Linked DNA regions of Pelodiscus sinensis. The protein of the gene in region 1 interacts with the protein of each later gene in a pairwise test. Links are inferred from orthologs where the notes say so. Each region holds a gene or a part of one and is shown on either strand. Other genes may lie near its edges. The genes, in order: XRN1 and ZFP36.

The links.
Region 2: the proteins of XRN1 (region 1) and ZFP36 interact in a two-hybrid assay, tested with the Homo sapiens proteins (2 studies listed by BioGRID). The link is inferred for Pelodiscus sinensis from reciprocal best matches to the Homo sapiens genes XRN1 and ZFP36.

What each region holds. Positions count from the first base shown.
Region 1 is NC_134720.1:21,383,610-21,399,644, reverse strand, and holds the start of XRN1 (5'-3' exoribonuclease 1), read left to right. Parts: upstream 1-7,858; 5' UTR 7,859-8,105; coding exon 8,106-8,180; intron 8,181-14,559; coding exon 14,560-14,792; intron 14,793-16,035. Other genes in the region: serine/threonine-protein kinase ATR, read left to right, coding at 2,935-3,108. UniProt on the Homo sapiens protein: Major 5'-3' exoribonuclease involved in mRNA decay. Required for the 5'-3'-processing of the G4 tetraplex-containing DNA and RNA substrates. The kinetic of hydrolysis is faster for G4 RNA tetraplex than for G4 DNA tetraplex and monomeric RNA tetraplex.
Region 2 is NW_027465849.1:4,195,638-4,211,698, forward strand, and holds ZFP36 (mRNA decay activator protein ZFP36), read left to right. Parts: upstream 1-8,599; 5' UTR 8,600-8,723; coding exon 8,724-8,759; intron 8,760-10,156; coding exon 10,157-11,152; 3' UTR 11,153-13,494; downstream 13,495-16,061. UniProt on the Homo sapiens protein: Zinc-finger RNA-binding protein that destabilizes several cytoplasmic AU-rich element (ARE)-containing mRNA transcripts by promoting their poly(A) tail removal or deadenylation, and hence provide a mechanism for attenuating protein synthesis.

The DNA.
Region 1 (16,035 bases):
GTAATCACCTTATTCATTCACTACATATCTTCTGACTTCTGCAACAAAGGAGGCAGGGCCATACAGAGAAGCCTCTTTCATTTCACAACCCTGACTGATCCTCAGAAAAGGTCTGTCATATACAGTAAATGAGCTCCTGTGGAAAAGGATCCATTGATCCTTGATGTGCAGCATCAAGCATATAAATCAAGTCTGTATCATAGTGGGGTTGAGTTAGTATAAGGGAGCTAAATTAAACTTATACAGTCAATCTTCATTCTGGCATTTCCTAACTCTTAAAGAGTTTGACTTTGGGATCTTAATGTTCTTTTAGTACAGTTTTTTGTATGTAATACAATATATGAGATCGATAAATGAGTGATCTTATTATAGAATCATAGAATACTAGGACTGGAAGGGACCTCGAGAGGTCATCGAGTCCAGTCCCCTGCCATCATGGCAGGACCCAGTACTGTCTATCTACATCATCCCCGATAAACATTTATCTAACCTACTCTTAAATATCTCCAGAGATGGAGATTCCACAGGCACTCTAGGCAGCTTATTCCAGTGTTTAACCACCCTGACAGTTAGGACGTTTTTCCTAATGTCTAACCTAAACCTCCCTTGTTGCAGTTTAAGCCCATTGTTTCTTGTTCTATCCACAGAGAAGAACAAGTTTTCTCCCTCCTCCTTGTGATACCCTTTTAGATACCTGAAAACTGCTACCATGTCCCCTCTCAATCTTCTCTTTTCCAAACTAAACAAGTCCTATTCTTTCAGCCTTCCTTCATAGGTCATGTTCTCTAGACCTTTAATCGTTCTTGTTGCTCTTCTCTGGACCTTGTCCAGTTTCTCCACATCTTTCTTGAAATGTGGCACCCAGAACTGGACACAGTACTCCAACTGAGGCCTAATCAATGCAGAGTAGAGCGGAAGAATGACTTCTCGTGTCTTGCTCAGAACACACCTGTTAGTTCATCCCAGAATCATGTTTGCTTTTTTTCCAACAGTGTCACACTGTTGACTCATATTTAGCTTGTGGTCCACTATAACCCCTAGATCCCTTTCTGCCATACTCCTTCCTAGACAATTTGCTTCCCATTCTGTATGTGTGAAACGGATTGTTCCTTCCTAAGTCGAGCACTTTGCATTTGTCCTTATTAAACTTCATCCTGTTTACCTCAGACCATTTCTCCAGATCATTTTGAATTATGACCCTATCCTCCAAAGCAGTTGCAACCCCTCCAAGCTTGGTATCATCTGCAAACTTAATAAGCATACTCTCTTTGCCAATATCTAAATGGTTGATGAAGATATTGAACAGAACCAGTCCCAAAACAGACCCTTGCGGAACCCCACTTGTTACTCCTTTCCAGAAGGTTTGTGAACTGTTAATAACTATTCTCTGGGAACAGTTATCCAGCCAGTTATACACCCACCTTACAGTAGTCCCATCTAAGTTGTATTTGCCTAGTTTATTGATAAGAAGATCATACAAGACGATATCAAATGCGTTACTAAAATCTAGGTATACCACGTCCACCAGTTTTCCCTTATCCACAAGACTTGTTATCCTATCAAAGAAAGGTATCAGATTGGTTTGACATGATTTGTTCTTTACAAATCCATGCTGGCTGTTCCCTATCACCTTATTATCTTCCAAGTGTTTGCAGATGATTTCCTTAATTACTTGCTTAATTATCTTTCCTGTCACAGAAGTTAAATTGACTGGTCTGTAGTTTCCTGGGTTGTTTTTATTTCCTTTTTATAGATGGACACTATATTTCCCCTTTTCCAATCTTCTGGAATCTCTCCTGTCTTCCATGATTTTCCAAAGATGCTAGCTAAAGGCTCAGATACTTCCTCTATCAGCTCCTTAAGTATTCTAGGATGCATTTCATAAGGCCCTGGTGACTTGCAGACATGTAACTTTTCTAAGTGATTTTTAACTTGTTCTTTTTTTATTTTATCTTCTAAACCTACCCCTTTCCCACTAGCATTCACTATGTCAGGCATTCCTTCACCAGACTTGTCGGTGAAGATGGAAACAAAGAAGTCATTAAGCATCTCTGCCATTTCTAAGTTTCCTGTTACTGTTTCCCTCTCCTCACTGAGCAATGGGCCTACCCTGTCCTTGGTCTTCCTCTTGCTTATAATATATTTATAGAATGTCTTCTTGTTTCCCTTTATGCCTGAGAATATAGAGCTCCTTTCATTGTAAGTTGAGAATCAGTTCTCATTGGTTGATGATGTAACTGATGATATTCAAGGACAAGACCTCATGATAATAGTTGTGTATTTTGCCTAATTTCATGGTTGAGTATTAGTCAAAATATTGTTTTTGGCTCAAGTCTGGTCCATACTTCCAGTCTTTTTTGTTTTGTTTTTTTACATTCAGCGGAAGACATTCAGCGGAAAATGTTTACAGTCCTGCTTGCGTTGTAACAGTCAACCTACCTCCTCCCCACCATCACCATTTTTAAGTTAAAAAAACAAAAAAAAAATGCTTTTCTGAACATAAGAAGGTTGAATATTTTCTGGAACATGCTCTTTTGATTAGTTGTCTCGTGGGCTCTTTGTTACTGAGCCACATGTATATACGGTGATAATGAAATGATTTTTATAGAATGAAACACATTTCATTGCTATCTGCTTCAAGAGGATGTGCAATAATTCATTCGATCTTTAAGATCTAGTTGTAAAGTTAATGTAAAGGCTATAGCTTGTCCAAAAAGCAAGCAGTTCTTGAGAATGAAGAAAGTGACAAAAGGAAATCCAACTGTTTTCAGAAAAAGTTCATAGATATTTGTATATTAAATCTGTTTATGTGGGATCTGAAATACAAGCTATAATTGGCCAAAAGTTTATTTGGAAGAACAGGAAATGTTTCTATTACAGATATGACAAATACATAGCTATATGAATTGTAAGGTTTTTTTCTCTTGTTTATAGGCAAAGACTCATGTCCTTGACATAGAACAGCGGCTTCAGGGTGTGATTAAGACTAGGAACCGGGTAAAAGGATTGCCCTTGTCTATTGAAGGGCACGTTCATTACCTCATTCAAGAAGCAAATGATGAGAACCTGCTCTGTCAGATGTACCTGGGCTGGGCTCCGTACATGTGAAATACTGCCTTCACAACTTGTGCTTCTGTAATTTTTTTTAACCAAAAAGTTATTGAATTCTTTCTTAGTCACTGAAGAATTTTCTAAAATTACCACTTTTGTTGATTCTGATTTTGTGTATGTCTAAATTGCAATTTAATGTGCAGCCTATGTAATATATACTGTAAAGTTGTTGTACATAGGCGGTGTATGTTGTATACATATATAAATGAATTCTTTGCATTCTGAGTTTGAAGACACATACTTTTATTTGTATTTATACAGTTTTATGTATACAGAATACAATACATGAACTAGTGAACAGAATTGACAGTCGTCTCCCTGATGCAGTTGTGTATTTCCTGTATAATTAACACTCATCTATGATATTTATGAATGTATATGTTCACTTCTGTATCAGAGCAGGGTCTAAATTAGCTTTATAAAATGTTATATATAAGTTTTCTTTTGTAGGAAACCTGAGTTGATATTTTAAAAGATATTGTATATAAAATAAATTTTGTATCCGCATGGTTGAAATGGGATTTGTAACTGTATTCATGTACCTATTTCAGAAGGATTTTCCAAAATGAAAAGCTTTTTTGCAGTCTTCATTCTCACCTAGGTTTCTCTAAAGCAGGGGTCTCCAAACTACGGCCCGCGGGCCGCATCCGGCCCGCGAGGCCCTCTCATCCGGCCCGTGGAGACCTTTTTGTCTGGCCCCGCCTTCTTCCGCGTGCCGGTGTGACGAGGCGACCCCCGCCCGTCCCTGGGGCGCCGCCGAACGGGCCCTTCTTGCCGCGGGGGGGGGGGGGGGCCCTGTCAGGGGTGTGCGGCGTGTACTCACGCCGCGCCGGGGCAGGAGAAGCGGGCCGCTCCGCTGACAAGCGGCCGCGCGGCGGCAAACGGCGCAGGGGGCGGGGGTTAGCACGGGCGGCGTTCCCCCGCCCAGACTGACAGGGCAGCCGGCCAATCAGGGGGCAGGATGGGCGGTGGTGGTAACGCCCGCCCGGCGACGTGCGGGGGAACGTGAACCCCGGCGGGAACTTTAAAAAGGTGACCCCTTCCGCCCGGGGGGGGGGGAAAGGAGTGAGCGGTGGCAAGCAGGAGGGGAGGACAGCGTGCAGAGGAAGGGGAGAGCAGGGGGAAAAGCCCCCCCCCCCCCCCCCTTCCGGGAGAAACAGATTCGCAGGCGAATATTCTGAAGAGGAAACATTAAAAGCAACAATCTCTCTACCATAAGTGGATATATTTGCACACTATATTCAGGTAAGTTTAACTTAAGAAATCATAAGAATTTTTAAAAATTGTTTCGGGTCATTTGCAGCTATTATTGCGACAAAATTAGTTCGCATAATCAGGTTTTTTGAGCGATATTGTGTGCAAGATACTTTCAGTTTCATTATTTATTCATGTTTAATTCACTTTATTTTAGTGCCCAGCGATGGCCGAGAAGAGGAAAAGAAAAATAGACTATGAGTGTCGGCAATTTCAAGAAGAATGGAGTTTGAAATACTTCTTCATCAAATCCGGCGAGAAAGCATTGTGTGTGATTTGCAACGAAACCGTGGCTGTGATGAAAGAATACAACCTGCGCCGTCATCATCAAAGCAAACATCAGGAGAAATATGTACAGTTGAAGGGTAAAGTCCGTGCCGAAAAATTTTCTAAATTACAAAATCAACTCACATCTCAGAGGACATTGTTCAGTAAATCCTCAAATGAAAATGAATCCTTAACTAAGGCCAGTTATAAAGTTGCCTACGTCCTGGCTAAAAGTGGCAAACCCTTTACAGATGGTGAAGTAGTGAAGGAATGTTTGTTGGAAGTGGCTGAGGAACTTTGCCCAGTAAAGTCAAAACAATTTGAAAATGTAGCTTTGGGTGCGAATACCATTGCCCGCCGTGTTGCAGACATGGGTGAAAACATTGTGACTCAAATAGCGAAAAATGCAAGCAAGTTTCGCCATTTTTCAATTGCAATGGATGAATCGCTGGACAGCTGCTCCACCTCTCAACTGCTTGTGTTCATTAGAGGTGTGGATGAAGACATGAACATAACACAAGAGCTGGCTTCCCTACATAGCATGTATGGCACTGTTACCGGAGAGGATATATTCAATGAGTTGAAAAAAACATTTGCTGATTATAACTTGGACTGGACTAACCTCAGTTGCCTGACTGTTGATGGAGGAAAGAACATGAGTGGCATAAAGAAAGGCTTGGTTGGACAAGTGAAGCAGATGTGTAATGAGAAAAACATTATACAACCAATGTTCCTGCACTGTATTATTCACCAGCAAGCTTTGTGTGCTAAATATGTGGACATTAGCAGTGTACTGAATCCTGTGGTGAAGATGGTGAATTTAATAAGGTCACATGGGCTCAACCATAGACAGTTCAGAGACATGTTGAAAGATACAGACACAGAATCGCAAGATTTACCATATTACACAGCAGTAAGATGGCTAAGTTGTGAGAAAGTTCTGAGCAGAGTATTTAAGTTAAGAAAGGAAATAGGTGACTTCCTGGAAAGTAAAGGCAAGCCACAGCCATTACTGTCTGATGAAGAGTGGGTATGGAAATTGGCTTTTGCTGCAGACATAACTAGTCATTTAAATTTTCTGAACCTAAAACGACAAGGAGAGCAAAATCTAGTTTCTGATCTATACACCCACCTAAAGGCCTTCAGATCCAAACTTGTCTTGTTTTTGGAACAAGTACAGGCCAACAACTTGACGCACTTTCAGCAGTGCAAGGTCTTCATGGCTGAAGCAACAGCTGAGTTCCCCACGTCATTTGCATGCGAGATCATCAAAGACCTCCAGCTGCAGTTTCAGCAGCGGTTTTCTGACTTGGATTCAAAGGCAGAAGAAGTGAGATTGTTTCAAAACCCATTTGAAGCAGATGTGGCCAGTTGCCCAGATGAACTGCAGCTGGAAGTCATTGAGTTGCAAGCAAATGACCTCCTTAGGGACAAGTTCAAAATAGAACTGGTGGGTTTTTACCAGTTTTTGCCCAAGGAAGACTTTCCTAATGTCAAAACTTTTGCATCAAGGTACCTTTCAATCTTTGGAACAACATACCTGTGTGAACAAACATTTTCAAGAATGAAATATGTGAAGAACAATTTGAGAACAAACTTGTCCGATGATAATCTCAGGTCACTGTTGATGTTAGGGACAACAAATCTAAAGCCAGAAATGTCTGCTATTTTGGCATCCAGGAAACAATTTCACCATTCACACTAATACAGGTGTTCATGTGTAGTGTATCAATGTGTTATTAAATAATAACTGAATAAAATAATATTAAATAAATAATTAAAAACAACATCCATGTTTTGATTGTTTTTTATTTGGACCTCAAGTGTGTAGTCGGCCCCTGAACTGCTGTTTGATAGTTAATGCGGCCCTCGGGCTGAAAAGTTTGGAGACCCCTGCTCTAAAGTATTGTTCTTGCTGAGAAGGCACCAGGCATTTTAAACTATTGTATCAAACAGTGGCACCTATTTGACCTATTTTAATTCCTCTAGTCCAGGGATGGGAAACCTAAGGCCTGGGGGCCACCTGCGACTACCAGTGGCTACCAGTTTGCCTGCATCTAGCCCTCGGGGCTGGTCCCCCAGCATCGGGGAGCATGTGCTGGCGCACCAGCCCTCCCATCATTTTAGTGTGGGACTAGAGCACACAAAATCTACAAGTCTGGGTCCCACTAGTCTCTGGCATGTGAAGGGAATGTCTTTTTCTCCTCCGTTGGGGACCACGTCAGTGAGGTGGTTTTCGTTTTGCTTTTCACTTGTGTGTAGCCCCTGACTTATGTTTCTGTGGATCAGCAGCTCCCAAATAAAAAAAAAGTTCTCTTCTCCATTTCTGCTCTAGTCTAAACTGCTTAATAAAGCATGGTATGGAGTGTCACCAAGAGGCAGGTTTATAGTACACAAACTCCTCCAACTGAAGACAACAGCATTTCTTGAATTAGTCCACTGAAGTGATTGAGATAATTCATGCCCTTCATTTTCTTCCTTAACCTGGACTTTGTTTTTACATCCCTCCCCTAGTCTAAAAATTCTCAGGATCTTTTTTCAAGAAAGTTCTCATCCTCCACAAAAACACTATTTATAGCCTTCTACTAAAAATCCAAATAGCATAAAATATTATTCCATGACCATTAGTGACTGTGAGCACCATTTGAAAATAATACTCCATCGATATTGTTCTTATTCTCCTCCTCTCCAAAATAATCCCCACCTGGAATTACAAGGTGAATACATAATTTGAATACAAGTAATCAAATGGGCTGTATTTTAATCCCTTAATCTTTGCACATATTTTATCTAATTTAAATGGGGAGTTCTATTATTTGCATATAAATCGCCATGAATGTGTAGGGATGTAGAAAGCCCTTTAAAACCGTGCCTTTACATGGTTACATGTGCTGCGGGCATACTGCAGAGCCCGCTAGCGGAGAGCTGGTTCCTGCCTCGGCCCGTGGCGCGGTGGGCCCAGGGAAGCTGGGTAACCGGTGACCCGTTCATACCCATCTTCCTCCCAGACTCTTACAGCTCATTGTGTCCACAGCAGCGGGGGGACGGTGTCTTGCTACGGGCCCCTAGGAGCCTCGCTCTCTTATGGACCCCACCGCGGGGTCCCTGCTGGCGGAAAGGCTTGGTCCAGCTGCCCCGGGACCGAGCTCCAGACTTCACACGCTGCCGCTGCGACTCCCTGGCCGGGGCGCGTGGGGACAGAGAGGGAAGGTCTGTGCGGCTGGTCCGCGCAGGGCGCCGCTTGCCCGCGGGAGCGCGCTGAGCTGCGTGCGGGGAGGGCTGCCCCCGCCTTAGGCCGGGAGAAGGGGGCGAGGAAGGACGCTCTGTCTCTGCCTCTCTATGGCTGTAGGGCCGCTCTGCGCCGCGCTCTGTGGCGGCTGGGCGGCCTGGCTGTCAGTAGGACGCGCCGGAAGGAAGCCGGCTGAGGGGGAAGGGCTGGTTGGGTCCCGTCGGGCTTCGAGTAGGCGGCGGCCATGGGGGTCCCCAAGTTCTACCGGTGGGTCTCGGAGCGGTATCCCTGCCTCAGCCAGGTGCTGAAGGAGCATCAGGTGAGCGACGCAGGGTCGGGAGGCGGGGGGGTTCGCGCCGTCTGGCCTGGCCGCTCGGGCCGGGGAGAGTGTCCCCCCGCCTCGGCGGGCCCGGCACCGCGAACGGCTCCGGGCTCGGTTCCTCGGGGCTCCGCTGACTTGCCTCGCCCGCGCAAGGCCCCAGGTCGCTCCCGGGGGTTCCCCCCAGCGCCCGGTGCTAGAAAGCGAGCCCCGACTCGGGCCCCCCCGATAAGGCTCCGCTGGCGCAGCTGCTGGGCGGCTGAGGCTGGTGTGGACTTCCCGCATCTGGGCGTCGATCTTTCGTTCCCGGGGCGCGCCGAGGTTTAGTTCAGCCCCTGTTGGTACGTTTGGAAGGCAGCTGTTTTGCTTGACAGTATTACTTGGATGTAGAAGCCAACATATAGGTGGGGTTTTCAGAAGTGCTCACCCCGAGTCTAACTCTGCTTCTCTGTAAGTAACTGATGGTAGGCTAAAAGTAAATATAAAGTAGATGTGTAAATAGTAAATGATTGGAAAGTGGGGAGATGTATTGCTGTAGTCACTGTGTTGTTTACTGAAATAATAAGCTACAGATTTTTTAAGCTAATTATCATTTAGATAGACACAGGTTGAAAATCATAGTTAATGGAGATAGAAATGTAGCCGTATTAGTCTGGTGTAGTTGAAACAAAAAACAGGACTACGTAGCACTTTAAAGACTAACAAGATAGTTTATTAGGTGATGAGCTTTCGTGGGCCAGATCCACTTCCTCAGATCAAATAGTGGAAGAAAATTGTCACAACCATATATACCAAAGGATACAAAAAAAATGAACACATATGAAAAGGACAAATCAAATTTCAGAACAGAAGGTGGATGGGGGGGGGGGGGGGAAGGGAAATGTCTGTGAGCTAATGATATTAGAGGTGATAATCGGGGAAGCTATCTTTGTAATGGGTAAGATCATTAGAGTCTTTGTTTAAACCTAAGTGTAAAGTGTCGAATTTAAGCGTGAATGACAGTTCGGAGGATTCTCTTTGAAGTGTGGTCTGAAAAGGTCTTTGAAGCAGGATGCAGGTAATCAAGTCGTTGAGACAATGTCCTTGCTGGTTGAAATGGCAAGAAACTGTTTTTTCTTTGTGATCCTGTCTAATATCTGTTTTGTGGGTACTGATCCTTTGGCGAAGTGTCTAAGACGTTTGTCCAATGTACATAACAGACGGACACTTTCGGCACATGATAGCATAAATTATATTTCTGGATGCGCAGGAATATGTGTTCTTGATCTTATAACTCACTTGGTTAGGTCCAATGATGGTATCAGCAGAGTGAATATGTGGACAAAGCTGGCAACGGGGTTTGTTGCAAGGGAAGGTACAAGGGTTGGTATTAGTGTGGTATGTCCTGTGGTTGTTGGTAAGAATCATCTTGAGGTTAGGTGCTTGTCTATAGGAGACTATGGGTCTGTCTCCCAGAACCTCTCAGAGTTTAGTATCCTGTTCCAGTATACGCTGTAGTTTATTGATAATGTGTTGGACAGGTTTAAGTTGGGGGCTGTAGGTGATGACAAGTGGTGTTCTACAGTTGGTTTTCTTGGGTCTGTCTTGAAGTAGATGGTTTCTAGGTATTCGTCTGGCTCTTTCAATTTGCTTTTTTTTTTCCAATTTGCTTTTTCAATTTACTGTTTTTTCTTTGTGTCTGAGACGTTTGTCCAACGTACATAGCAGACGGACACTTTCGGCACATGATAGCATTGGACAAACATCTCAGACACTTTGCCAAAGAATCAATGCCCATAAAACAGATATTAGACAGGATCACAAAGAAAAAACAGTTTCCTGCCATTTCAATCAGCAAGGACATTGTCTCAACGACTTGATTACCTGCATCCTGCTTCAAAGGCCTTTTAAGATTACACTTGAAAGAGAATCCTCCGAACTGTCATTCATGCTTAAATTCGACGCTTTACACTTAAGTTTGAATAAAGACTCTAATGATCTTACCCATTACAAAGATAGCTTCCCCGATTATCACCTCTAATATCATTAGCTCACAGACATTTCTCTTCCCTCCCCCCCCATCCGCCTTCTGTTCTGAAATTTGATTTGTCCTTTTCATATGTGTTCATTTTTTTTTGTATCCTTTGGTATATATGGTTGTGACAATTTTCTTCCACTATTTGATCTGAGGAAGTGGGTCTGGCCCACGAAAGCTCATCACCTAATAAACCATCTTGTTAGTCTTTAAAGTGCTACATAGTCCTGTTTTTTGTTATAGTTAATGGAGGGCATTGTTTATCAGTGTCCAACATCTTAGTTTATCCATCTTGTCGAACAAAGATTTCATTTATTTGATAGCATGTAATTTGCACATAACAAGGGAAATCAACTGATCAGTTTCACTTTTATTTCTGTTTTACATTTTCTGTGGCCAGTTTTACTTTCTTGTTCTTAAACACTAAAACAATGTTGCAAAGCTTGGGTTAGGAACATCAGGGATATGTTTAAATCCACATGTATTTTTATATTGTTTCTTTTTAATTTAATAGAAACCTTTGTATTAATACTGTTTCGGAGTTTTTTTTAATTTTTGTTCTATAATATAAAAATGTTCCTAAACTGCCTGATAGTAATCTTTGTAAAGTACTTCTAAATGTTTATTTTTGTCCTATTGTTAAAAACCTGTTTTAGCTGAACACTATGCCACCAGCAAATGCTTGAATTTTACTTTCTGGCCCAGTTAGCTTCAATTAAGAGTTAATTTTAGGCTGGGCATTTACTAGAGAGACTTTATTCGGTGTATATGTGCTAACATACCTCCCTAAGGAGTTTTTCTGCCAGTATAGGAACACTGCCTCCCAAAACAATCTTAACTATGTTGGCAGAAGCACTCTTCTGTTGAGATAGCTGTGACTACACTGTGTTTTTTGCCACCATAACTGTCAGTCAGGATGTGGGTTTTTTATACCCTGACTGATTTAACTGTTTGGGGGTGGGAGCGTGTTGTGGAGCAATGCAGAAAAGGTTAGAGCAGTGGTCTCCAACCTTTACATACCCAAGATCACTTTTTAAATGACAGACCAAGCCAAGATCTACTTCCCTGCCCGTTTCTTGAAGCCCCGCCCCTTTCTATTCTCCTGCTCTCCATCATTTGCTATTCCCAATCCTTATACTGCTGCCTTTTTTTTTTTTCCAATTCTTCTGTAGGAAGAGGTTTTTCCAACGTTTGGCCTGTCTAGACTGGACCAAATGTCAGAAAAAACCCTTCTTTTGGAAGCCCCCTTATTTGTCGTGGAAAGAGGAATATAGGGGTGACCAGAAGAGCATGTTTGCTCTTCCACTAAAAAAAGTGGAAGAACAAACGCATTCCTGGATGCAGGAGAGTTTTTCTGGGATATCTCCAGAATCCTGAAAAACTGCAGTCTAGCCTTACCCTTGCTGGGTTGAGACAGGATGTGTAGGCTCTGGGGTGGGAATGAGGGATTTGGGTGTGGGAAGGGGTGAGAGGTGCAAGCTCTGGGAGGAAATCTGGATGCAGCAGGAGGTGGAGAAGGGGATGCTGGCTCGGGGAGGAGGCTCCAGGCCGGGCAGTGTTGGGGTACTAAGCAAGCCAGATGCTTGTGGAGTGAGGGTGCAGGAATTTGGGTTGAGGTATGTGAGGGGCTCAGGGCAGGAAGTTCCAGTGTATGATAAGCTCAGGTCTAGGGGAAGGGGGAATGCAGGAATGGCTGTGGGCAGATGAAGGCTTGGCCCCAATTGGGGGTTTGTTGGCCAGGCTTCATTTTAAATAAAATACTGTGTCAAACACACAAAGTTTCTGCATTGTCTTTGTTTATGAGATGGGCAGGGAACCTGTCTTGAGTCAGGGGTCACTGACGCACAGAAAAGTCAGTTGGGAGCAGGGGACATGGTACTGGGGAAGGGTGCTAGTGGGTGCTGGGGCAGGGAACAGGGTGCCAGTGGGGGCAGAGTTCTGCAGCTGGGGGCAGGGGCAAGGGAACAGGTTTTTGCAGCAGGGGAGAGGGACAGAGTTCTGTGGCTGAGGGCATGGGAGAGGAAACAGGGTGCCAGGAGGACAGGTTTCTGCAGTAGGGGATAGATTTCTGCAGTGGGGGACAGAGGGCTGGGGGTGACAGGTTTCTGCAGCAGGGGACAGGGTGCCAGTGGTGGGGCAGGTTTCTGCAGAGGGGGGACAGGGGAGAAGGGAATGGGGGGGCAGGAGGGCGGGGGACGAGGTTCTGTGGCAGGGGTCAGGAACAGGGTTTGGGGGGCAGGAACAGGGTTCGGGGACAGGGTGCCAATGGGGTCAGGGAGTCCCCTACACCAGCCTCGGAGGGAAGCCTCCATTGCGCGCTCCCTCCGGGGCCGACCCCGCAGAGGGGGGAAGCCCACGCATGCGACCTCTCGGGGCCAACCCACCCCGCGGAGCAGGGAAGCCTGCACACGCGCTCCTTCTGGGCCTGACTCCCCCCTTCTGCAGAGAAGGGAAAGCCTCCGGGGACTTACCCGGTAAGTTCCCAGAATGCCAGGGATCTGGGGCAAGGAAACAGCTAGCGCATTTCTGGAACCCCTGGAAGTGATGCGCAGCTGTAGGACTTTCCTCCACCCCACTGGAAGCTGCCACTACCTTCATTGTTGCTCGAGGTAGTTAGTGGGGCTTCTTGGGGGTGGGAGGAAATGGGAGGCCCAGAACGCCTCGCGCTCAACTGGTTGATGACCACAGGGTTAGAGGGTGAGAATACAGCCAAATAGCTGCACATCAAAACACTTGTGACTGGTTGATTATTGTGCTCACATGCAGCATCTCTAGTCAGGCAATTTTCATTTAGGTGTCTAAATGTAAATTTAGAAACTTTAAGGCCATTTTCCAAATTGGGCGCCTAACATTATTGGCTATTCAAATAAACATATCATACTTGGGCTGCTATCAAACAGTTTTTTAGTTATGCTTTTTTAGTCACTGCCCTCCCCCTGCTGCCTGTATCAGAAAGAGGCAACAAGGGGGAGGAGGGGAAAGGGATGGGGTATTTCAAAGCCGCACACTACTAGAATGATGTAAACTATTGGGCCAGCTACTCAAATACTGAAGCAACAAGTAACAGGGTTTGTTTTGTTTGAAGTAGGGGGAGGGAGCACTACTGGACAGGGTTATGTTGTTTGTTCTTCTGTTTGCTCTTGCTGAAAAAGTGATAGAAGATAAAGGGCAGTTTGTGTGCAAAACAAAGATTATTATTTATAAATGTAATTAAAGTATGCTTCTTCATATGTAGAAAATGCCCTCTGCTATCCTTCTATATGTTCTGCTTCATGTGAAAAGGTCATGCGGCTCACCCAAGTTTTGGAGCTTTTATAGAGTGCTGTCACTGCAACACACATCCTCTTGTGACTGAAGAGCTGGTGTCCATGTGGATGTGGTGGACTTTGGATATGCAGTTTTACTTGGACCGCAAAATTAGGTCCTTTATTGGAGGGACTAAATACCATTTTAGGAAGCGCATAAAAATAATTACTGAGCACTGTGCATCAGCTGTAGTGTAATACATTGCAGAGCCAGCTGTACAAACAAGACACTAGATATTAGAGATGTATTAGTTCCTTTTTAATCTTGCCTCTACCTTTTCCTTCACTTCATGTTTGCCAATACTGAAATAGAACTCTGCTCCTCCTGACTCTAGAACACAAATCCAAAAACATTTCCCATGTGAGAGGATGGTTCAGCAACAACACAATAGGTTGTCACAGAAAGTGAGCAAACAATCCTACAGAAACTAGCAGGGGACTCTCATGGTTAGGATTACTTACAACATCAAGCAAGTAGATGTGTGTACAAAATGGATATGTTTGCTTACAAACTGGCCTTGTTGGTGTTAAATTTTTGGACAAAAACATGGTGGTACCTGTTGGCCCAAGCAGCTAGCCAATATTTGGAGCCATGCTGCATTATTTATATGAGCAAGGTATTTTTGTGGTGCAAGTCTGTTTATTTACAAAGAATGTATGCAAAAATGCCATTTTCCTGAAAACAGTAGGAACAAATAGTGAACAGCTTCCTTGCTCACATTTTGCATGCCTGCTTTTTAGCAGAGTCCAGTGCCCCAAGGAATTCTGTCTCTGCTTGCATTCAAGGTCATGGTCTCTGCATATCTTTCATTATCTTCAGGTTTTCTGGCAACTTTTACCTTACTTTACACTCAACTGGACCTAACCAATGCCCCCGCCTCTAGGTTTACAATCAGTCCCCAGGAAAATCCCTTGTCTCACACAGCTCAGAAACTGCTGAGGTTTTCCTACTTTGGAAGACAGCTTCTGTTGTTTCTGCTGTCACTGAACAAAGGCAACTGTTTCTAGGTCTGTGATTGGTAAGCGTTATCAGTAAAACATTAAATGTCTTTTTTCCTAGATTCCAGAATTTGACAACTTGTACCTGGATATGAATGGTATCATCCATCAGTGTTCACACCCTAATGATGATGATGTTCACTTCAGAATCTCAGATGATAAGATCTTTGCTGATATTTTCCACTACTTGGAAGTATTGTTTCGTATTATTAAACCAAGAAAGGTTTTCTTCATGGCCGTTGATGGAGTGGCTCCAAGAGCAAAAATGAACCAGCAGCGTGGGAGACGTTTTAGGTGAAAATATTTTAATACTGTATTGGTGTGTTTGTGAATACATTGGATAGCACCTGTTTATGAGATTTTTTTTTAATTTCAAATTGAAATAAGTATAAAATACAAAGTTTTAAATGATTATGGTTTTGACTTTTTTTTTTTTTTGTTAAGTAATAACTGAGCAGTCATTCTTCAGAATTGAGGTTTTTTTGCCAGTGCATTTGAAAAAAAACCTGTATACATTGGGGAGTACTTTTCATCCTTTGCTTTTGAAGTGAACTCAGTTTGCATAATGCTACAGAAACTGGTATAAATCGTTTACTCTTGCAGCCAATGGCTTAGAATTATGAGCCTATAAAGTTTGGGGTAGTTCATTCAAAGGAGTCTGGACCCAAGAATTATGACCTAGCACTGCATGTATCTTTAGGGGAACAGCAATTATAGGTTCTGCTTCTTTTTTCTATCTTTAAGACTGTTTTTCTGTAAATATTTATATTCCAGTGTATCGCTTTGCAAGGAGGTAGTAATAGGACTTAGGGATGTTAGCCAGTAGTCAACTACGCGATAAGCATAAGTTTATCGGGTAGTTGAGTGGAGTATTGACTACTCATTTTCCCCCTTCCTGCCTCTATAAGAGGCAGGAAGGGGGTGGCAACAGGAGTCGGTGCTGGGGGGATCTTAAAAGTGCTTAAAAGTCAGATCCCCCCCCCAGCACCATCTCTGCAGTGCTGCCTGCTCCCCCTGCCCCCTCCTCCTCCCCACTGCCTCTATCAGAGGTAGTAAAAGGGGATAGGGGAGTTCTGCTGCAAAGCAGCCTCTGCCTGCAGTGGGCCAAGGCTCACCTTGGGTAGAGGCTGCTCTGGCAGAAGCCCCTGTCCACAGGAGTCCCAGTGGCCAGGAGCTGCTTCCACCAAGCAGCCCCTGTCCGAGGCGGCCTGGCCATGTGCTGGGCTCTTACTAAATTTAAAATGCAGAGGCACAGCATCCAGGATCAACATGAGCCAGGACTGTCTGGTCCTGGCTCGCGTTGAGTCCAACAGCCCCTGGCTGCAGCCAGTTCTGTCAGTTGCAGACAGGGGCTGGTGCCATAGCAGTCTCTGTTTGTGGTAGCCAGCCCTGGTTGTAATGAATAGAGGCTGCTCCAGCACCTGCCCCTGTTCACGGCAGACAGGGTTGGCCATCATGAAAAGGGACTGCTGGACTCAATGTGAGCTAGGACCAAGCAGTCCTGGCTCATGCTGGTCTGGGATGCTGTGCCTCTGCA
Region 2 (16,061 bases), on another chromosome or scaffold:
TGTGATTGGCTGCAGCGGGCACCCGGCTCTCACAGGCAATGTGCAGTGGAGGGGGTGTCCACGGGACCGTGGCAGCGCTGTGATTGGCTGCAGCGGGCGCCCAGCTCTCACAGGCAATGTGCAGTGGAGGGGGTGTCCACGGGACCGTGGCAGCGCTGTGATTGGCTGCAGCGGGCGCCTGGCTCTCACAGGCAGTGCTGTGTCAGCACACACCTCCCGGCCCGGGCCTCGGCTTTACGTGCGTGTCACTTGAGTAACACGGGTGGGAAAAACCGATGCGGACAGAAACCAGCAGGATCTGCAACCCCCTGCATGGGTAAAGGTAGCAAAGTGCCTTCTGGGTCACAGAGAGAACCACGAGGGGCTGCAAGTGGCCATGGGCTGCTCACCACTGGTCTACATTCATTTGAACCCCCAAGATAGGAATTGTCAAACGCTGGGGCCCAGTCTGGGGCTGCAGCAGCTGCCTGGCATTATGCAGGCCTGAGTTCCCCCTCCCCTCAGTTCCCAGACTGCCTAGCACCTTCCTAAAACGTGGCCGCTCCAGCCCTTGGCTGGTGCTGCCATGTGGGGAAATCCGACTGTCCACCAAACTTGACTGACTGGAGCACCAGCGTCCCCAGTAAGAGATTCCAATGTTGCCCAGCTGATTAGCATGGTGCCTTCTGTGCCCACAGCTGGCAGTATGTGTTTTCACTGGTGGTGCACATCCGCACATGCCTTGGTGCACCTAATACAACATATTCCGCACTCAGAGGGAAGACGTTAGAGGGAACATTGCAGAGGACCATTTGGTCCGTGAGACACTTTGGGGAACTTCCCAGAGCATGAGTCCTGTGGGGGCTGTGGTAGTCTGTAAAACACAAGGGTTGGAACCTTGGGTCTTGCCATCACCCTCTTAGAGGCCTGGTATGTGGTGCAGACACGAGTTACTGAGATCAACACAGAGCTTGCATTGCACAGGAGGTTGGAGTAGACAACCTGCTGATCCTCCCTGTCCTTTAACTCTATGGCTCCGTCTCCCCTGCAATTCTCAGCCCCCCCTTTGCATGCTGGAGTCAGCTGATTGGAGGCCTTTGATACCCTGCTCCTCAGCCTATTGTATGAGTGCCCTCCAACCAGGCGTTACACATGGGGAGCACAGGCAGCTGTTCTCTCATGCACTCCCCAGAGGGAGACGCATGTGGCATGGTGGAGGGTCTTATTTTGGTAGGGTTGTCGTTTTGGCTGGCTGTTAACCAGACTTATTGCCATGTGTATTTATTACAGAAGGGTCCAAGAAACACATCTTGCAATAAGTTACAGCTAAAGGAGGGGAGACTTGGGAATTGGCTTTGTGTGTGTGTGTGTGTGTGTGTGTGTGTGTGTGTGTGTGTGTGTGTGTGTGTGTGTGTGTGTGTGTGTGTGTCTTTCATCCTACAGCAGTGGTGGGCAGCCTGAGGGTCACCTGTGGCCTAGTAGGGGGTCTATGTGTCCCCTCGAGACATTGTTCACTGTTCCCCATGTGCAGGGTTACCGGATTCCATTGATTTTCCTCCGCATAGTTTATTCTTACCAGTGTTACTAAAGTGACACACGTGTAAAGCCAGGGCACATGAAGTGAGGGGAATGTGAGCTAATGGCTAGAAGGTGTGGGAGTGCTCTGGAGTCAAGACTCCTGGGTTTTCTTCCTAGCCCTGGGAGGGAAGTGGAGTTGAGTGGTTAAAGGCTGGGGGGCTGACCTGGCTTCTCTCCTGATCGTTGGAATCCTGCCTTAAGCTAGTGAAGCCTTGTGCAACCCATCTCCAAAGGGGTAAATTCCCCAGCCTGCTCAGACTGCTCATCCCCAGCCTGAGGCCGTCCCCATCGCCTCCTGACACGGGGAGATTCCTGGAAAGGCAGGCCCATTGTGCAACAGCCTGGGACAGCTCTGTTTCCAGCACGCAGAGGAAACGTGCATGGGCAGCAGGCCAGGATGACCCCATAGTTCCCTGGAAAGGGAGGCAGACCTTCCTCCCAGTCTGGCCAGCTGCTGGGAGCAAGAAAGTGCGGTTAGAAAACATCCCTGATTGAGCGCAGTCACACTGGGCCAGGCTGCCCATTTCACGCCAGACAAGCCAATTTCTTGCACCGCACTTCAGAAGAGAGGATCTGAAACCTCCTTCCAAAAAATAGCTCAGAACTGAGGACTGGAGCCCCCAAAGCAATGGATCAAACCCCACAGAACAGAGGATCCAGGGTATTCCCTGCAAGCTGAGCACTTGGGCAGCCACCTAGGAGAGATTCAAACGCCGCCCAGCTGATAAGCAGAGTGCCCACAGCCGGCAGTAGGTGTTTCTACAGGTGGTACACATCTTCACATGCCTTGGTGCACAGAACAAAATTATTCCACGCATGGATGGCAAAAATTAGGGGGAACACTGATCCAGAGAACCAGAAAGACAAATCAGAACCCATAGAACAGAGGATCTGAACCTCCTCCCAAATGAATAAGAACTGATAGAGCCGAGGCTTCCAGGAATCTGGGGAAGTTAAACACAAGATTTCAGCTTATTTCTGCACTTCGTGGCTTGAAATAGAACATTCAGACAGCACCAGCACCAGCAAGCTTACAGCTGCGTGGGAGGAGAAACTGAGGCAGGGAACCAGCCATGTGTAAGGTCTCAACAGAGCTGTGACTAGAACCCAGAACCTCTGGTCCCTGCTATCTTTCTGCCCCTGGGGGGATTGTTTGGGTGGGTCAGACTCCAGGGTGGGCTGGATCTGAGCAGGGGCAAAGGCACCTGCTGGCTCCTGTGAGAAGACCACAGCTGTGAAACCCAGATACTCTGCCCTGGCCACCCCAGCCTGGACCTCTGAGAGCTGAGACAGTCCCTATTCCTCACCCTCTATCCCATCCTGGGCCTCTCTGAGCCAGGAAATCCCTCTTCCCCATCCTGGACCTCTTAGACCAGGCACGGTCCCCATCCCCCCATTCCATCCGATGCCTCTCTGAGCCAGGAAATCCCCATCCCTTTTCACAGCCAGCTTAACTCCACTTCCGCCGTGTAACCCCAGCTCTTCCCATCTCCTTACCACCTCTAGGCTGTTCCTGTCTCGACCCCTCTCGCAGAGCTGGGACATCCCCTCCAGGGACGGGGCTGGCACTCCCCGGTCCCGGCTGTTGTTGTTGATCCATGGACTTTCATAGCTGATTCAGAGGGATTTCCCAACTCATCATCAGGGCATGTTGCCAGTGATTCATTCCCTGGAAACCCGGGGCCCTGAGGCAGAGCCTAACCGGAAGCCCATTGGGGCTCTCCATCTTCCCAGGGATGCATCGGGGTTCCCTCCCAGCCTAGCTTGACACCTTCCCCTGACTGATCTCCTCTACACCCCGCTATCATCGATGCCTATGCAAAGTGCCAGCTTCCAGTACAGATTCCTGGAAGTGCCTCTATTTACCTCTCTCCACTCTAAACTCCCCATTTGGTGCCTGTCTTTTAACATGCTTTTTGCCCCCCTTAGAGAATTCTAGTAGATTGGTGAGGCATGATTTCCCTTTACAAAAACTAGGCGGACTCTTCCCCAGCTGAGGGGGTTCCTCTAGGTGTCTGGGCCTTCTGTGGGTTACTTTCAACCAAATTGCCTGGTGTTAAAGTCAGGCTCACCAGCCTGTAACTGCTGGGATCACCTGGGGGAGCCTTTTTAGAGAACCCAGCACAGTGGCTGATTTCCGCAACAGGGTGCAAACCGCAGCTAGTAATTCCTATCGGAGTCCTTCCCAGGCTGTTGGGTAAGTGCCAACGGGTCCCAGCGACTTACGATTGTTTATGTCTTCCAAACCCTCCTCTAGCGACATCTCCAGCTGAGACGGCTCCTCAGATGTGTCATCTCACAAGAATGGCTTAGCTGTGTGGGGCTCTCCCCACTGCCTCTCCCTAAAATAGAGCAGCACAGTGGCTACTCTGCTCGAGGCCCAGTTGCAAATGGTCCCAGGGGCTTTCCCGGAAAAGAGGAAGAGCTGCGGTGCAGACAACATAAACACAGGTTTAGAACGTGCCGCTGGGGATTCCTGGGGAGCCAGCGAAACCTGCTTTGCTGGCCACATCCTGTCTTCATCTCTTGCTCCCTGGCTGTTATTCACCTCTGCTGCATTCCACCTGAGAGGCAGCTGCACTGTAACACTGACAGGACGGCTTCTGGTATACACAGGAAGCTAGATTCTGCCTTGTTTATGCCTCCCACCCAGAACCTGCACTCCCCTAGCATACTCCTGCACCCTCTCTCTCACCCAGACCCTGCACTCCCACACCACTCCTGACCCCTACCTCCCACCCATACTGGTCCCTGGCAGCCCCCCTCACACACTAAACCCCTCCTTTTGGGCCCTACCTTGGAGCCAAAAGCAGCCCCACAAAATCTACTATTCCCCAGCCCCCAGGGAACTTCAGGGGAGTTTTTTCCTCCTTCTCTTGGGGGCCAGGTGGGTTGCATTTGTTTGCTTGTTTGCTTTTAACTTTTCACTTGTGTGTGGCCCCCAACTGATTTTTCTGTGGATCAGTGGCCCCCTATCCAAAAAAGGTTCCCCACCCCTACTTTAAAAGCTGTCTTAAAAGGGCATGGGAGCAGGGGTGAAGAAAGGTTGGGTGACAAAAGTGTGAAAACCACTCAGACAGGTTTTTCTGCCTCCCATTGTCAACATTTTATGACCATGTGGCTAGCACCCTGTGGACAGATAGAGCAAAGCATTGTGGGTAAGCATCCCACAGCGCAGTCCTGCAGGAAGGCAGAGCTGATCCCTGTGCTTCTTGGGATTTCCTCCTAGCTCTGTGAGCAATCTGTGCTAAGGAATGTCAAGGCAGCACAGCCCTCTCTCCAGCCCCCCATCAGCTGCAGAACAGGAGCATTTAAATCATTTGCACTTTGTTCCCCAAAGGGAGCAGCTCACTCAGCTGTCAGATACTTCCTGGAGCTTTGAAAGGGGAGGGGCTAACGTCTGCAGGGCAGCAGCGCTCACAAACCACTGAGCACATCCATCACGGCAGGCACTGTGGGCTCCTGGCAGAAACCAGTTCTCTCCACAAAACAAACAGCAGAGGCCACGCTGGGTCTTCGCTGACAATAAAGGGAGGGAAAAGACAAAAGTCTCTCCTGGGGGTGGCAGCTTTGTGTTGCCAAAACTGGGTGTTCTTACTGACAAAAGTTGCATTGTAGTGTAAATGCGCTCACTGTTTTGTCGCCAAATGGCAGATTTTGGTGACAAAACATGCCAGCGTAGACAAGGCCATCAAATGCCCATGTCAATTTACAGGGGTGGACAGAAAAGAAGGGAGACTTTAGAAGCAAGCTTTTTGTACTATAGTAATTAAAACTAAAATGTGTATTTTAGATAAGGGTGGTCTTTTGAATGGTGTATTTAAAAATTTACATGTCTAATGATCAACGAATGTAAGGCTAAAGATGAATATTCCGATTTCATCCCAAAATATCTATGCAAGGACTTTTTAGAGATGTGACTTTTATAATCATCAGAAATACACTAATGAAATATTTTAAAGCAAATTTTAAACTAAGGTCTTATAGACTAACATGGTCTGAGTAAATATTACAATACAGGGCATCCCCACTATGTCACCCTAGTATACATCCGTTCCACACTGAAGTCGTTGACGATTGAAGGAACTGATGCGCTATAAGTCCTCTCATTCCCTGCTACAAGTCATGCGAAACACTTTCCTCCAATTTGCTTAAATGGAAGTCAGCCACGGGGAAAAAAATTCCCCGCTTTGTTTCACTATAAATCCAAGTTTTTTGGAACGTATCTTGGACTTGTAATGCACAACTGCCTGTTAAATGGTTCCACTGCCATTTGAACGGCTCTTCAACAATATAAATGTTCTGCTCATAAGTCCGGTAAGCTGAAAGGTTTTTCACTTTTAAATTTGAAGATTCCCCAGGCAGCAGCCAGATGTGGAAGCCTGCAAGAAGGATCAACCCTAGACAGTGGACACTAAGACCCAGGGAAAGCCATGTCTTCCCTTGACTCTTATACCCACCACCCGTGACAGGGAGGGAGGGACTTCCCCACTTGCTCGTTTGTTTGTTTCCAAAAGCGGTAATGTTGACCATGCACCTTGCTGCAAGAAAGGGGAACCCGGAGCCGAATTCGCTGCTTCCGGAAACCACCTGCTTCATGGGCGCTGGAAACAGTCCTTGGCTAGCAAACTGAGGGCCGAAAGGTGGATTCAACATAGGGACATGGGTGTTGGAGACCTGGGGAAAATTCCCACCTTCTCCTAGTCCCCACGGTGCTCTGGCTGTTCTCTGCCCCCCCAGGGCCCATAGGGCACAGATCTGGGCCGTGCCTGGAGCGCCCTGTGCTGTGGCTGTTCTCTGCCCCCCAGGGCCCATAGGGCGCAGATCAGGGCCATGGCTGGAGCGCCCTGCGCTGTGGCTGTTCTCTGCCCCCCAGGGCCCATAGGGCGCAGATCAGGGCCATGGCTGGAGCGCCCTGCGCTGTGGCTGTTCTCTGCCCCCCAGGACCCATAGGGCACAGATCAGGGCCATTGCTGAAGCGCCCTGCGCTGTGGCTGTTCTCCGCCCCCCAGGGCCCATAGGGGGCAGATCAGGGCCATGGCTGGAGCGCCCTGCGCTGTGGCTGTTCTCTGCCCCCCAGGGCCCATAGGGGGCAGATTAGGGCCATGGCTGGAGCGCCCTGTGATGTGGCTGTTCTCCGCCTCCCAGGGCCCATAGGGGGCAGATCAGGGCCATGGCTGGAGCGCCCTGCGCTGTGGCTGTTCTCCGCCCCCCAGGGCCCATAGGGGGCAGATCAGGGCCATGGCTGGAGCACCCTGCACTGTGGCTGTTCTCTGCCCCCCAGGGCCCATAGGGGGCAGATCAGGGCCATGGCTGGAGCACCCTGCACTGTGGCTGTTCTCCGCCCCCCAGGGCCCATAGGGCGCAGATCTGGGCCATGGCTGGAGCGCCCTGCGCTGTGGCTGTTCTCTGCCCCCCAGGGCCCATAGGGGGCAGATCCGGGCCATGCCTGGAGCACTCTGCGCTGTGGCTGTTCTCTGCCCTCCAGGACCCATAGGGCACAGATCAGGGCCATGCCTGGAGCGCCCTGCGCTGTGGCTGTTCTCCGCCCCCCGGGGCCCATAGGGTGCAGATCGGGGCCATGCCTGGAGCACCCTGCGCTGGGGCTGTTCTCTGCCCCCCAGGGCCCATAGGGCGCAGATCGGGGCCATGCCTGGAGCGCCCTGCGCTGTGGCTGTTCTCTGCCCCCCAGGGCCCATAGGGTGCAGATCAGGGCCATGGCTGGAGCACCCTGCGCTGTGGCTGTTCTCTGCCCCCGAGGGCCCATAGGGCGCAGATCGGGGCCATGCCTGGAGCGCCCTGCGCTGTGGCTGTTCTCCGCCCCCCAGGGCCCATAGGGCGCAGATCAGGGCCATGGCTGGAGCGCCCTGCGCTGTGGCTGTTCTCTGCCCCCCAGGACCCATAGGGCACAGATCAGGGCCATGGCTGGAGCGCCCTGCGCTGTGGCTGTTCTCCGCCCCCCAGGGCCCATAGGGGGGCAGATCAGGGCCATGGCTGGAGCACCCTGCACTGTGGCTGTTCTCCGCCCCCCAGGGCCCATAGGGCGCAGATCGGGGCCATGCCTGGAGCGCCCTGCGCTGTGGCTGTTCTCTGCCCCCCAGGGCCCATAGGGCGCAGATCGGGGCCATGCCTGGAGCGCCCTGCACTGTGGCTGTTCTCTGCCCCCCAGGGCCCATAGGGCGCAGATCAGGGCCATGGCTGGAGCGCCCTGCGCTGTGGCTGTTCTCTGCCCCCCAGGGCCCATAGGGCGCAGATCGGGGCCATGCCTGGAGCGCCCTGCGCTGTGGCTGTTCTCTGCCCCCCAGGGCCCATGGCAGAGAGTTGTGCCACAGGACAGGGAGCGTCGCCAGCCCATTCTGGCTGGCCGGGGACAGGACTCGCCGCTCCCATTGTGCAGGGCCCGGACACGCATTAGAGCAGCCCAGAGGCCTCGCTGCCGTGTGCGCCAGCGGCTGGGCGCGCGGTGCCCCGCTGCCTGGGCTGGGCGGCAGGGCTGCAGGAGCGAGTCCGCCCGCTCCCGGGCGCTCGCCCTGCGGCCCCCCGGCCCTGGAGCCTGCAGGAGGGGGTGGCGGCCTGGGCCGCGGACAGAGCGGCCTCTGCTGGGAGGAATGGAAACTGCGGAAAAGTTTGTTTCCCGGCCTCAGAACCCCCCCAAAGTTGGTGCCCCCGCAGAAAAGACGCAGCCCCCTTCAGCCGGGGGGGGGGGGATTCCCAGCAGGGCCGACCCCCGTTCCCAGGGTGAGCGGGTAGCAGCTTGTTGGGGGGGAGCAGAGACAAAGCCCCCAGTATCAGGACGGTGGCCTCCCAGGCCCGTTCCTAGCCCCCCCCCCCCCAGCAGTTCACTCCCTTCCCCCCCCCAGCAATTCACTCCACCCCCCCCTTTCCCCCCCCCCGGCTTCGCCCGCCCCCGAGCGCCCGGGTTGGTCTTTTCCCACGCCGGGCGCGGGGCCCCGGGCCCCCGGAGGGCGGGTTTCTCGCTTCCCATTGTAACGAGATGAAGTCATGGGAGGCGGGTCCGCGGCCGCCTTATATAAGGCCCTGCAGCCCGCCCGCCTGCCACAAAGCTCGGCTGAGCCCTGGGGGGTATTCGCGGACTCCCACCCGGGGAAGGAAGGCAAGAAGGAGCCGCCGCCCGCCCGTCGTCCCGCCGCCTCTTCAGCATCGCGATGAGCTCGATCATGGATGTAAAAGCCTTGTACGAGGTAAGCGGCTGCGGACCGGGCGGGACTTGGCAGCGCTGCGCTGCCCCCAATTGCTCGCGGGCTGGGCGACCCGATTGCCCAAAATCGGGGGGGGGGCTAGGAAGCAGCCCCCTCCTCTAAAAGAAACTCCTTTCCCCCCTTATCCCTCCCCTGGGAAAAGGCCCAGGCAGCTGCCAAACCGGCTCTACTCCGGAGCTGCCAATTCGGCGCGATTTGCGTCTCCACGGGCGAGTTTTCGCGCGGGCGGGAGGCGAGGGACTCTGATCCGGAGCAGCGCCCGGCCCGCCCGCTGGCGCGGTCCCTTGTTTCTAATGCCAGCTCCTCCCGAAGTGACGCCGCTTGGCTGGCGGCTGGCTCGGGGACCGAAGGACCCTCGCGAGCCACCCCCGGGGCGGAATCAGAACTTGTCCCGTCCCCCCCCCCCCCCGATGTTTGTGCGACTCACCCGCCGCTTCCCCACTACTCCGCTTTCGGTAAACGAAGCGTAGTGAAGCGGGGTGTGGCCGTGTGAACTCCATGCCCGTCCCCAGCTCCTCGCGCCGGGAGCGACCCCTGCGCCTTGCTGGGGTGGGGCTCCAGGGAAGGTGCCCCTCGCCCCTGTTGGGGGGGGGCCGAGACTTTCCCAGCGGCTAGGGAGGGGTTACAGTGACCTAGAATGGTGTTCCTCCCCGCCCCCATGGCAGACGGAGGGGCTGGGGAGGGGCGCGGGGGGGGGGGGGGATTTGGCAACTACGGGAAGCAGTGGAAAGTGAGGGAGGGGTGCATCTAGCAGGCTGTGCGTGGGGGCGGTGTTTGAACAGGGCTCCTCTCTGGATCAGTGGTGCGCCCCCCCCCTTGGAGTGGGGGGGGGCAGTGGGGAAGCCGTGGGGGGAGTGGAAAGAGTCAGGGAGAGAGGGCGGTTTCCCCGGGATGGTGCATACACAGAGGCTGGGAGTCTGCCTCCACCAGTTCTGTATTTCTCCCCCCCCGCGGACTTCTTGGGGCACCTCACTCTCTGCTCCCAGTGCCCCAGCACTCCTGGGGGCTGGCCCCTTATACTAGGCTGGCAGAAGGCCCCTTGCTTGGGGCGGGGGGGGGGGGGCCTGCCAGTATAAAAGGCCTAGTTGTGGCCAGGCCTGGATGCTTATAAATAACCCTGGCACGGTGCCATTCAGGGGCTGAGTCACCACAGAGCTTGGCCTCCTGGGAGGGGGCCTGGCACTGAGCAGAGCCAGGTGCTCAGTTCGATGTAGGCCACAGGGCCGTGCCCAGGGGCCTCTCACCCAGCCCCATGGGTGTCTGTGTCCTGTGGGGGGGGGGGTGGAGGGCATGGCAGAGCCGTGTGTCCCTAGCCTCCAGGATTGGGGTATCTGAGCTGGGCATTAATGCCCCCTTTTTCCTCTCCTTCTGCCCCACAGAACCTCCGCAACCTGAATCTGGGTGAGGAGCGGGATGAGTCCTTTCAGCGCCGCCATTCTGCCAGCTCGGAGCACCTGGGGGGCAGCGACACCCACATCTGGCCCCTGCGCACCCTCTGGAGCCCCAGCACCGAGCAATTGCTCTCCCTGCCTGAGCCAGCAGCCCCGCGCCCGCCCTTCCGCACCGACCGCTCCCTCAGCATGATCGAGGGCAAAGCCCTCCCACCCCCGCCCCCCGGCTTCCCCCCACTGCAGCCCCCGCCGGCCCCCGCCCTCTCGTCCCGCTACAAGACGGAGTTGTGCCGGACCTTCAGCGAGACGGGCCGCTGCCGCTACGGGGCCAAGTGCCAGTTTGCCCATGGGGCTGCGGAGCTGCGGAGCCTGAGCCGCCACCCCAAGTACAAGACCGAGCTGTGTCACAAATTCTACCTCAACGGCGAGTGCCCCTACGGCTCCCGCTGCCACTTTGTCCACTACCCGGAAGAGCGAGGGCTGTCCGCCTCCCCGCAGATTCTGCGACAGAGTCTGAGCTATACCGGGGTGCCCACAGCCCGCCAGGGCTCCCCGCCGCCCAGCATCCCCGACCCGGCCTCTTTCACCCGGGCTCCGTCCATCTCCCCGCCTCCCGCCAGCGAGCTCCTTGCATCCTCGCTCACCCATCTCAGCTCGGAGCCCGTGTTTCGCATGGCCACTCTGGGAGAAACCGTGGCCACCTCCCACTCTGGAGGGTGCTGCACCTGCCGCTGTGGGGGCAGCACCAGGCAGAGCATCTTCGAGAGTTCCCGGGACTATTTTTCTGCCGCCCCGGGGACGCTGATTGCCTCCAGCCTCCCCAGGACCCCCTCGTCCAACTCGCTCTCCGACCAGGATTGCTACAGCAGCTCGGGTAGCCTGAGTGGCTCCGAATCGCCTGTCTTCGAGCTGCTGCCCACTGCTGGGACCCGGAATAGTGCCCACCGTCTGCCCATCTTCAACCGCATCTCCGTGTCGGAGTGAGTGGCCCTGCTGCCCAGCAGGGGAGGGCGGAATCGGATAAAGGCCCAGGAGGGGGGGGCAGGACAAGAGACTGGGGGCGTTATTAGATGCATTGATGGGGCAAGTTTGCGATCTGCTCCTGGGTGACCCTCTGGGCTTGCCTCCAAGACACCTTCTGGACAACCCAACCCCTCTGGCTGCTGGCCCAGATATTAGGGGAGTGGGTGCCCATTGGGCACAACTGTCCAGCCACATGTTGGCATGAGCTACTCCTGTCTGCAGGTGGTGGAAGGGGGTTGGGGTGGCCTCCCCCAGTGTGGGACATGAGCTCCCCACAGTGGGGGTAGGACAAGCACCCAGATGCCTGCCAGGCAAGGCTAGCTCCCTGCCTGGCTGGCTGTAGCCATGCTTAAAGGAACTTGTCTCTGCTGCCGAGCATTAGCACTGATGGCTCTGCTTGTGCCTGGGGAGGGGCCCTAAATGCCCTGGCCACGTGCCCCTTCCGTCTACAGACCGTCATCCTGCCTGCCTTCCTCCCACTGATTGTCCTACAAGTGCCAGCTGATGCTGCCGAAGTGCCTTCCCCAAAATCCGTCGGGAGTGCTCACCTGCTGCTCCCCATGCCTCCCCCACTTCAGTCTTTCCTCTGGACTTGCCTTCAGTACGGAGGGTGAAGGGGAGCCCCTCGGGGCCAGTGTGCATCCTCAAACAGACTGACTCTGGGGCAAGCGGAGTGGGGGGTGCCCTTGTATGTGCTGTATGTAGCAGATTTGGGGGAGGACTGCCTCAGCAAATGGGGTTTCTGGGGGGGAACATTTGGCTCTCATGGTGCTGCTTTGCTCCCCCACCTTTATGGGGAGCCCTGATTTCATGCTGTGAATATTTCAGAAAGGGCTCCCTGATCTGGTGATTGTTTTCTTGGCTCAGATCCATCCTCTTTTTTAATCCCCTTTCGGGAGGAGCTGAGCAGGGTGAGCGGTGGGGGTAGTGTCCCAGCCCAACAGCCAAAGCATCCTCCAGTATCTTTGAAATAATGGAGTAAACGGATAGAGCTGTAGCCTTGTGCAGTGGGAAGCCTGGATGCTAAGTAGCCACATATACAACCTAGCTTCTGCATCACAAAGATACTCCAGTAACAGCCCACCCCGACTGTAACGTTTAACAAGCAAGGGGCGTTGTATGTGTTACTGGAGAACTTCCCCCAGGCTGGGACAGAGTAACCCTGGCTTCCGGACCCCTCCGATTGACTGGTGGTGCAGATCCCTTTGGGAATCTTACGCAGTCTGCCGTCATCCTGGGGCCTGTGAAAACTGCTGGACTTGGCTTGTATGAAACAGCTCTTTAAGTTGGGGGAGGGGAATGCACTAGTCCCCAAGACAGCCGACCGAGTTAGTGCAGTACGTAAGGCTGTGGCATATGTGGAGTATTTATTTTAGCGAGGGGGTGATAGCTCTGTTGCAAAAGGGGGGAAGGGGAATTACTTAGAGCAGGAAAGGTCTGAGGCCTTAAAGGGATAACAATCGGACCACCAGCCCGGAAGTGGGGAGTAAGGCAGCACTGAGAGCTGGCAGTTTGCAATCTAGGTGTGGCTCTCCCCCAGTATCCACGCGGGTCGGGAGGGCGGGGCTTCTGTGCCACTTCCCCATGTGAAGCTCACTCAGACTCGCCTGGCTGTATGGGCGGGTCGGGTCGGTCTCTAAAGTCACAGTGTGCTGGTCTGCCTGTGCCAGGGACCGACTCCGCGGCGGTGGGGGGAGGGGATGCCGAGTTTGCGTTGCCTACCTCTTGCACAAAGTGAGCCTGCAGAGTGCTCCCCTCTTGCTTGCCGGCATGTGGTCAAACTCCGGACCCCTCCCCAAAGTCTTAAAGAGGCTGCAGCTCTTTAGAACCACCTTCAGGGTTCCCCTTTGCCTCCGTTTCCCCCCCCCCCCCCCCCCAATCCCCCAGGCTAAAAACATACTTTTTCTTAAAGGCAAGCTATGGGTCTGGTCACATGACACCTGCAGCTTGGGCTTTTGGGACCTGCACTAAATATTTCAGCAACATTGGTATGCTGCTGGGATCTCCTGGCTGCCCTCTTGGCCCTTTCTTTCCAGCTCAGGCCCGGTGGAGATTTTTCATGTTCCGCTTGCGTGCTAACAATTCCCTGCTTTTTAACTCTGTTGCTGTTGAAAGCAAAACCAAACAAGCTGTTTACTGTGGTGGCGATGAGAGAACAGAAACCAAAATTATTTATACAAATCTTATTTATTCGACAGAATTTTATATTGTATTTATCTTTTTTGTAATATGCTGAAATAATATATATTTTCCATGTTATTAAAATTAATTAAAAAAGAAACCCAGCCTGATGTAACCAAGAAGCACGATGTTTATCAGTGACAAATGCTTTTTTTTTTTTTAATCATCATTGTGGTGTTTTTATTGCTGAATCTTGAGGATTTAAAAGAAAGATGGTAGAAAGTGTGTGTGTGTGTGTGTGTGTGTGTGTGTGTGTGTGTGTGTGTGTGTGTGTGTGTGTGTGTGTGTGTGTGTGTGTGTGTGTGTGTGTGTGTGTGTGTGTGTCACACCAGACCCTGATGTTCTTTGCAACTCCTACTGTGAGTTCCCAGACACAGAGGCTGAAATTCTATTATGGCACATCCTCATGTCTTCATGGGCCTCCTGTCCTTTTTTTCTGTCTCCTCCCCCTCCCCCCCACCTCAAAGCTGGTGGGATTTTAAGAACTTGGGGGGAGGGTAGGGGGAAGTCTCCGTAGGCCTAACTTACATTGAGCATGGAACTGTGCAGAGGCTGAGTGGGAGATGGTCTCTGCCCCCCAAAGAGCATACTGTCCAAACTGCCAGAGGGGAACAGAAGCATGGCTCCATAACATTAAGTGCCCAGATTCCTTTGAGGAACTGTGGTTGGTACCAACTCCTTTAGGATGCAAGGCTAGGGGTGAACATTTCATAACTAAGCTTTGGGAGAAGGTATTTTTCTATAGGTGCAGGGGGGACTCGTGACCACCTGTGTCTGAAGCAGCCAGAGCTGGTAAGTTACCTGCCCTGTAGCCCCATTGTTTTGCTCCAGTCTGGCAAACTGAGGGAGTTAATCTTCCCAGCTGCCTGTGGGGGCAAGGAAAGTACAGCTCCTATTTTACAGGTGGCAGTAGTGGGATTGAACTGCACCACCAGACTGTCTAGCATGCCTGGCTTGGGGAAGGGCATCTCTGCATTCCTGTCCGCTTGGACTGCTGTCATGGTTTGACCTGCTGTGAGAGCTTCAGTGTAGCTGCCTGAGGTCCTAGAGCAGTGGTCCCCAATCTTTTGGGGCTGGCAGGAGCCTGGGGCTGGCGCTGCCCATACGCCACGCGCCCGGGGCAAGGGTCATGCCCGTGCTGCGCGCTTGTGGGGGGCTCAGATCATGTGGCGGGTGCACATAAATGCCCTGCCGGGCGCCATGGCACCCACAGGCACCACAGTGGGGGCCACTGCCCTACAGCACTGAAGGTGCTGAGTAATTAACGCAGGGCCTGGACAGGTTTTCCCTCAAGCCATCGGGTTGCTGCTCTGGGCTGCCTAGGGTAAAGCTAGAACAGGTACTGCCTGCTGCAATCCTGCTCCCCCCTCCCCGCTCAGGTGAAGCTTGATCACGTCTGGGTGGCAGCCGTGAGCAGCAACACGTTCGCAGGCCAGGTGCCTTCCCTTCCCACCCCGCTGGCTGAGCTCAGACCGGCTGCTCTCGTCATGGCTGACGCGGGCGGGGTGCGGCCCGTCCCTGCCAAGGACATATCAAGGCTCTTTGCGCAAGGCCTGTCCCCGCCCAGACTGGAGGAACCAGCCAGTTGAGTTGCCCCCGCCCAATGCTTCCAGTAAACAAGCCAGCTTTGGAAACTCAGCTGCCAGCGCCAGGGAGAAGCTCTGAGTGGTTGGGCCTCCATCAAAATCCATCCAAGGTGGGGCCCCAACCACTGTGGCACCAGGCAGCCGAGTCCCTCCCTGTCAGTTTCATCCCACGGGGCGGTTGCTGAATCTCATCTGCTCTGGCCGGTGTTTGATGGGCCAAGGCCATGCTGAGAGCCCGGGGAACGCTGGCTCATCTGCTTTACCTCCCCGCGATGGGCTGCTCACCTGCATATTGATGGGAAACAAGTGGTGTAAAGGGAGCACAGAGAGGCCCCAGCACCGTTCAAAGGCGTATTGTGCCTGACCCTCACACAGCTGGCTATCCTAGGGGGGAGGCTTGGGCTGGGCAGCCAGGCTGGGGCTCCTACTTCTGACATTTGGGGAGGAGGGGCTGGGTTTGTGGCTGCAGGCTGACGGCAGAGATCTCACTCTTGCTAAGGACTGCAGGAGCTTCGGAGGCTGGGGGGGGGGGAAGGGCTGAGATTTGGGGTTCGGTTCTGCTGGGTTTGGTGTGACTTGCTTTGTGGTGTTGGTGCCTCTTTTTCTGGGGGGGGGTCTCCATGGGGTCACTGCAGCTGGATTGCTGGGGGCGGGCCTGCCGATTGCTGGGGAGTTGCTGAGTGCTACTAAAAATCTTCCTCTTGGGTGAACAAATCTTCAGGAAGGTTTCCTGGCCCAGGAGCGGTTTGGAAGTCAGCTGGCGGGGGAGGGACTCTGTGGCTGACAGTGATTTCCTCCAATGAGAGCTAGCGGCTGATTTTGCCCACTATGGGAAGGTGGTTTCTGCGGGTAAGAGGACTCCCGTGGGTTGCAAGACCTGTGCTGGGAGGCAGGCTATGGCACCGGGTTGAGGTGGTTTCGAATAATCCTGCAGGCATAGATGGGGCAGATGACATGGTGGCTGCTCCCGTTGAAAACAGGAAATGTTAGTTGTGGGGTGCCCCTGGCCGTTTGTGGGTTCCTGCTCATGCACTTCTGGCTTGGGGGCCTCCACTGAGTATGTGGGACCCCAAGATCAGGAGGCAGGGCTACAGTGTTGAGGC